Canis lupus familiaris: one gene and its partner. The protein of the gene in region 2 interacts with the protein of the main gene of each other region in a pairwise test. Links are inferred from orthologs where the notes say so. Each region holds a gene or a part of one and is shown on either strand. Other genes may lie near its edges.

Region 1 (3,758 bases), on a different chromosome or scaffold from region 2:
CCCAGTGCCAAAGTCGGCTGAACTTGTCTGTTGGACACGTGATTCTGGGACAGGCCACCTTGATCTCGCAGCAAAGCATCCCACTCGGGGGATGAGCACCTTAGGAGGCCGCCGAGTCCGCACCGCGAGGTGGTGCCCCGAGGGCACGCGGGACTTGCCTGGGGTCGTGCGGCCGCACTCAGAGACACCCCTCCCGAGTGATCTCCTCGCCGCCCAGAGCCCCCACCGGCCGCGCCAACAGCGCTGGCCGCTCGCCGGCCGCCGCCCATCCGCACTCACCAGTACGCAGGCAGCGGGAGCAACGGCAAAGGCACTTCCGCCTCCCGTGAAGCCCCGCCCCTTCCGCCGGCCGCCCCGGGGGCGCGGGGCGGGGGGCGGGGCCACTCCCGGGGCGGGGCCTGTCGGGCCGCGGGCTTCCCTCCTCCGCCAGGCGCGTGCGGTCTCTCCCCGCGGCCCGGTTCGCAGACCCCAGGGGACAGGCGAGGCCAAGACGTGACCCAGGGTGTGCTGTGAGTCAGCAGCATCCCCCTGGGCGCGCCCTCGAGGCCGCAATCCCCGCCCTCGGCCCACACCTTCACCCGCAAAGGGGAAGGGGGCGGGTATCCAGCTGGCGCTGATTTTTATCGCCCACAGCCCCTGGGACCTGTAGGCGTCCAAGGCAGGGCCCCTATCACAAGAGTGACAGCATTTCAGCTCCGTGTTTTGTCTCCAGCGCTTAGGATGTGATCCACCACCTCTGACCCTAACTGGACTCTCCCTCAGAATCCCCGCAGCGCGTTATGGACACTAGACCTTGGCAGAGGGTACCTTCTATTGTGTATATGACTCTTCATGCCATATAAGAGCCCTCAGAGCGTCAGGTTAACATTATGTACATCTTTGCATTTCAACAGCACCAAGCACAACGCTGCATGCCTGGGGGGTAATCTCTCAAACCGATACCCACCCTCCAAAACCCACCCAAGGAAGCCCATCTGTTTCAACGCCCAGTGACTTTCCCCGAAACCACAGTGCCCCCTACCTCTTCTTTGTCCGATTCTTTGATCTGGTATCTGCACGGCTCTTTTCCCCCAGCTTCTCCTCCTCCTTGTTCTTTAGGCATCTTCCTGATGCACCTTGTTGCCCCTTGATCTTCCACTCGAGCCACTTGTGGCTAGAACACGAAGTGCTTGGTGATCTAGAAGCTGATACCTGTAACTCATCACATTTTCCTAGATACAGAGAATGGAGGGTCCCTGGGAAAGAAAAGAAGATTCAGGTACTACATGCTATGTCAGAGGAGGGAGGAGGGAAAAGGGGGGCGACTGCCCAGCTGATGTCAGATTTTCAAATGAGCAGAGTCCCCCGCAGCCAGTACAGACTCCACTGCAGGCGATGTCACAGGTCCAGACCACCCCATTTAAGGGGGGAGTCAGCCTGGCCTTCAACTACTTCCAGCTCCTTCAGCTCCTTCCTAGCCCAGACTCAGAATGCTTGCAATGGGGGAAGGGCAGCTAGTGAGACAGTTCACAGTAGGGGGTGTGTACAGGGGCCGCAGTCAGCAGCCAGGCTCCCCCACTGGCCAGGCAGTTGGTATGTTCCAGGATCTGAGCAGCTTCTTCTAGCATCCTTCATCCTTCAGGTACCAGCGTCTGGGCAGTGCTTGAGCTGCAGGAACTGGGCCCAGCCCTCAACAGAACTCTGACCTGACCTCCCCAGTGGACTTCTCTGTATTAGCTCCTTCTGCTGCAGCAGCAAATACTTTCAACTGCAACTCCCTGCAGGTGGGGCACCCACCCATCTCGGGGCAGGCTTTGTGCACCCCACTGACTACTCCCCAGGGCTACCACTGCCGGTGCCTGCAGGTGAGTAGGGAGTATCCTGTTTTTCTCCCCCTGGGTCTCAAGGAGGCAGGTGGGGGTCATGTGTCCTCATCAGGGTGGGGCTCTTTCTGGTTGAGGCTTTCAGGGCTGGGAACACACAAGGCTGGAAAGGCTGAAAAGCCTTAAATCATTATGTCTAATGATCTGTGGGCCCAGGCCGTGTGTGAGTATGGAGGGCATTTCATCCCACTCTCTCCATTTCCTTAGCCCAGGAAGACAGGGATGGGAAAGGCCACTGGAAGATGAAGATAAGAGGAACAAAATATTGGGGCAGCCTTGTAAAGACTGATGAAAAATGAACATGGAGGGGGGTCTTCAGATGAGATTATGCAGCTCCTCACCTCCCACATCATACTCTGAGCTATTCCTTTCTTTTCTCTAGGATGAAAGGGGAGACCCCCGTGAACAGCACTATGAGTATTGGGCAAGCCCGCAAGATGGTGGAACAGCTTAAGATTGAAGCCAGCTTGTGCCGGATAAAGGTGGGCGGATCCTGGGTCCCCTCAGTTGGCCCAGTTGTGCTCTAGGTCCCCAAATCTCAGGTTAAGAGACGATTTCTTTCCTTGAGTCCCTGCGATCAGGGGAGGAGTCTCTGGCTCTGTGGGACAGTCCCTCTGAGGGGGATGAGGGAAGAGAATACTGTCCTAAGAAGCCCTAGAGATGGCAAAAAGATAACCCATTTGGGGAGGCAGGCTGCAGGCCCTCTCAGGGGATCTGGCTAACAACTCCCCTCCTGGCTGTGCCCCAGGTGTCCAAGGCAGCAGCCGACTTGATGACTTACTGTGATGCCCACGCCTGCGAGGATCCCCTCATCACCCCGGTGCCCACTTCGGAGAACCCCTTCCGGGAGAAGAAGTTCTTCTGTGCCCTCCTCTGAGTTGCCCTGTCCCTCCACACAAGCTCCTCACCTGTCCCTCTCCTGGGCCCTCCCTTAGGTTAGTAACTGTCGTGAGTCCCTGAGGGTCCCCGCATCCCACCCCTAGCCCTGTCCGACCCTGTGAGGTTGTCCGAAGCACAAGGCTCTCCATCACCGATCTGTCGACCCCGAGAACCCCCTGACCCAGGGACCCCTTAGTTCTATCCCCAGAAGGGCCGCCAGACTCTGCCAGCGTCCTGCCTGCAGGCTTCTCTGTGACCCGCTCAGACAATGGAGAGAGGCGCGGGCCGGGTGCTGGCTCCCAGTCTCACCTGGAGCTATGAGAAGGGTAAAGCCATTTGAAGAATAAAGGTATCCAGAGTCTCAGAAGACAGCTCCTGTGGTAGCCTTCTTGGGGAGAGGATCATCAGTCTGTGGATCTGGGAATGTGTGCGGCAGGTGAAAGACTTGCCATTCCCCGGGAAAAGGGCGGTCAAACCAGGCTAGACATCGCCTAGGATGGGAGATCGCCGGGACTGGGGAGACGGCGGGCGCGAGAGAGCCTCAAGTGGGAGAATTAAGTCACGACACCCAGAAGCTGCGGAGAGCAGTCACACACACACACGCACACGCGCGCGCGAGAGCACTGAACACAAGTGAAAATGAAAACAGACCGAACAGGATGGATTTAGGGAGGGCAGTCGCAGACCGCAGGAACTCAGGAACCCAGGGGAGGAGCTCGGCTCTGGTTCCTGCGAAGGGGCCGGTTTTACTTCTAAGATGGCAGCGCCCACAGCGTGCCCCTTTCCAAGATGGCCGTCGCCATAGGACGCGCGCCAATATGGCAGCCGCGCGTCACTGGGTTTCACCGTACAGGGCGTCCCAGCTAGCCCCATACGTAAAATGGCGGCCCCAGGCAGCCAGAGTCAGTGCGGTCCCATCTGTGCTCATCTGGTCTCAAAATGGCTGCCCCTGCCCTCGCCAACTTGATGCCCATTCCTATGCGGCCCAGAGTCTGGAAGCCGACGTCCCCCCGGATC
Region 2 (3,646 bases):
CAAATCCACAGGGTGAAATAGAGAGGACCAAATGACACCTGCACAGGCCAGAGTTTGCATTACAAGAGAAGGACCTTGAGCTTGGGAACCCAAACCATTCATAAGGGGCAGTAAGCAGTGATCCATTTACTAGGGCAGGGAAGACTGGAAGAAGTACAGGTAGGATGTGGTTATTGCACATGGTTCTGGAGCTCTGCTTTGGGACAGTTACATTTAAGATGCTTATCATACAAAAAAAAAAAAAGATGCTTATCATACAACCAAGTGGAGATGTTGAGTAGGTAGCAGGATGTATGCACTGGATCCAAGAGAGAAGCAAGGACTCGACATGTAAATTTGGAAGATGGCACTGTCAAGATAGTATTTGAAATAGAATCATCTAAGAAGTTTCATTATACTTAATGGGAAAGACACTAGACCTGTTCCCCTTAAAAGGAAGAACAAGAGAACAGTTCTTATTTACATTAACAACAGAAATGTTATGTTAGTAAGAACTTTCTAGGTCCTTGCCCTCAATTGTAGGATAGAGAAAAAGGGAAAAGACTATTACTTTTGGCAAATGTGCAGTAATTACCTAGAAAATCAAAGGAAATTAATACAGATAATAAATGAAGGCGGTACAATGCAGGACAGAATATAAAGCCACAAAAATAAACTAAACCCCTATATATTCACAGAATATAGTTTTAAAATGCACCATTCTCTCACTCATGCTGTTGCCCCTACCCTGACCCCACTTCCTCTAACATCCACTAGGTCTCAGTGTTGACTTCCCTTTCCCCAGGAAAAGGAGAAGACAATGTCTTCCCGAGAAGACAATGAACAGTAATAAGCATTAGTTGTTGAATGCTTTTCATTTGGCACCATGCCTAGGTCTTTGCCTATATGATTCGGTCTTTACAACAGGGAAAATGCATGAGCATCCTTGCTTTTCAAATGCAGAAACTGAGGCTGGGCAAGGTAAAGTCCCTCACCAGAGGTATCACGTGGAGGCAGGCAGTGGTCAGTGCAGAGGCTCTGTACATAAGGTTCCAGTATCTGTTCAGATGATCACTTTCTTATCCCCGAGCTGCCAAATCTCAGGAATGAGGGGTGTACTCAGTGGAAACCATGGTTACAGACCGCCTGCTCTGTGTTCAGTGCCTGGTGCAGATACACACATCATCTCAGTTACTCCTCACCAACGCTCTGCAAGGCCCCTACTTAAAAGGGGAGAAAACTAGAGGCCAGTGGGCCAGCCAGATGAGCCTCCCTTTCTGGCCTCTATGAAGAGTGGTCCTTATGTCCTTAGAAGTAGAGATTCAGATTCAGATTCCACAGGCCTGGCATGGGACAAGCCTTCCCAGGTGATTTCCAGATGATTCTGATAGGCACCCAGGATTGAGAATCACCACTCTAAATAAGGCTCTTTCTATCCAAACTTTCTCTCTGCAGGTACTACCCAAGTGGAGATGCCTTTGCTTCAGGATCAGATGATGCTACGGTATGTTTCTATGTTATGACAGCTTATCCTATTCCAAGAGAGAAGCAGGGGTGCCTGGGTGGCTCAATCAGTTAAGCATCTGCCTTCGGCTCAGGTCATGATCCTGGATCCTGGGATCCTGGGATCCTGGGTTTGAGGCTCCTGGCTCAGCACTGTGCCTGCTACTCCCTCTTCCCCCATTTGTACTCTTTTGCATGTGTGCTCTCTCTCTCTCTCTCTAAAATAAATAATTTTTTTAAAAAAAAGAGATATGCAATGATCTAATTTTATTTTTCAAAATTAATGTTTTTTTTTATTATAGTAATAAAGTGAATTCATTTAGGCAAATGGTAGGGGATTAAAATACCTTAACCTCCCAACCCAAGAAAATCACAGTTGGGTGAATTCCTTTGTGTCTTTTTAATTTTTAAACAAAATGCTTTATAATTTGCTTTTGTCACTTAGCAATTGATTGTGAACATTTTCCTATGCCAATGTAGCCAATCTACATTGTATTTTCTTAGTGATTGAATAGTATTTCATGTTATGGAAATGCTGTTATGTACTTAACTAGTCAATTTTTAGACACTTGGGTTTTTCTAACTGTTAAGTGTTCAGATGATCACTTTCTTATCCCCGAGCTGCCAAATCTCAGGAATGAGGGGTGTACTCAGTGGAAACCATGGTTACAGACCGCATACAGTATAATTAATACTTTTGGAACTTATTTCTCCCATATCTCATCTGCCCTACATGTTCCTTTTGCTGTACCTCTATAGGCAGCCTGGGGAAAGTGGTTGGCTCAGGATTTGACGGAGGGAAGACAAATAAACTGAATTAATAAGATCTTTTTTAAAAATGAAAATGAAAATGTAAAACTTCCATATGTCAAAAAATGTATAACAAAATATAAAGGCATACATCTATGAAAAATTTTTGCCATCTATATGACCAAATTGAAATCCTTTAGATATGAATGGAGTTGGATAATCAATAAGATAAACACCCCAATTTTTAAAAAGGGGATAAAATGTAGACTTTTTACAACATGGGAGATCCAAAATGGCAAATCAACACCTGAAAAACATTTTCAGACCATCAGACCACCCATATTCCAATAAATGCAAGTTTAAGTGATAACTGCTCATTTAGATTAGCAGTGAAATGCTGCATTGTGGAGGTGATGTGGTCAAAGAGCTTGGAGTTAGGCCCATTGGTACCATTCTTTTGGAAAACAGTTTTGCCATATGATCCAAGAGCTTTCAAAACATCCCTATTCTTTGATCTGGCCATACTATTTCTTGAAACAGTTTTATTCTGCGGATTCTATTCCTTAACTATTCTAAGGAAAACATCAGAGATATGCATAAAGATATTTACCTAAGAATGGTCCCCCAAATTTTAGTTATAAAGGAGAAAAATTAGACATAATTAAAACTCTTAACAGGGTATGGTTAAACAGATTCTGATATATCCACATAAGAAATATTCAGCAACCATGTTAGTCATGTCTTTTTGAAGATTAATGAGAAAAATGCTCATAACCTGATGTTAATAGAAGTGATAAGGAAATACCCACTCCATTTAAATATATGCATGAAATGGAAGTAGACTGAAGGAAATAGCCTCGATGTGTAAGTAAATACCTCTAGGATTTGGGGTGATTTTTATTTAGGCATTTCTGAGTTTTTCTGAATTTTCTACTATGAGTATGTATCCTTTATCAGAAAAAAAGAGGTTTCATTTTCGGTTTTGATTCCTCTCCCAAATCTTCTGTATTTGCTGTTTCTTTGAATCTCCACTGATCCATGCCAATTAATAGGAATTGGAAGAAAATACTAGAGGAAGAAACCAGAGGTATTTCCCTCATCCTCCAACTACACAAGCCATAGGCACCTGCCTCTAGCCCTGTGGCCCTCTCTTCACCAACCTGGAGCCAGAATTAAGTGTTCCTTTATCTTCTCTGTCACCCCAGTGTCGTCTCTATGACCTCCGGGCAGACAGAGAGGTTGCCATCTATTCCAAAGAGAGTATCATATTTGGAGCATCCAGTGTGGACTTCTCCCTCAGTGGTAAGATTTTCTTTTAGAAGCTTCCCTGGGGCTGTAAGACAGGATATAAATGAAACCCAGCTTTCCATCAAGCTTTCCCTCAGCTGAACTTCCTGGGAGCCAATGTGTTAAG

Evidence for each region. The genes of interacting proteins can lie anywhere in the genome.
Region 1: the proteins of GNB5 (region 2) and GNG3 interact in a two-hybrid assay, tested with the Homo sapiens proteins (2 studies listed by BioGRID, with this or other methods). The link is inferred for Canis lupus familiaris from reciprocal best matches to the Homo sapiens genes GNB5 and GNG3.

What each region holds. Positions count from the first base shown.
Region 1 is NC_049239.1:54,477,356-54,481,113, reverse strand, and holds GNG3 (guanine nucleotide-binding protein G(I)/G(S)/G(O) subunit gamma-3), read left to right. Parts: upstream 1-1,378; 5' UTR 1,379-1,844; intron 1,845-2,244; 5' UTR 2,245-2,245; coding exon 2,246-2,344; intron 2,345-2,610; coding exon 2,611-2,739; 3' UTR 2,740-3,112; downstream 3,113-3,758. Other genes in the region: BSCL2 (seipin), read right to left, coding at 280-524. UniProt on the Homo sapiens protein: Guanine nucleotide-binding proteins (G proteins) are involved as a modulator or transducer in various transmembrane signaling systems.
Region 2 is NC_049251.1:18,132,318-18,135,963, reverse strand, and holds part of GNB5 (guanine nucleotide-binding protein subunit beta-5), read left to right. Parts: intron 1-1,434; coding exon 1,435-1,483; intron 1,484-3,437; coding exon 3,438-3,534; intron 3,535-3,646. UniProt on the Homo sapiens protein: Enhances GTPase-activating protein (GAP) activity of regulator of G protein signaling (RGS) proteins, such as RGS7 and RGS9, hence involved in the termination of the signaling initiated by the G protein coupled receptors (GPCRs) by accelerating the GTP hydrolysis on the G-alpha subunits, thereby promoting their inactivation.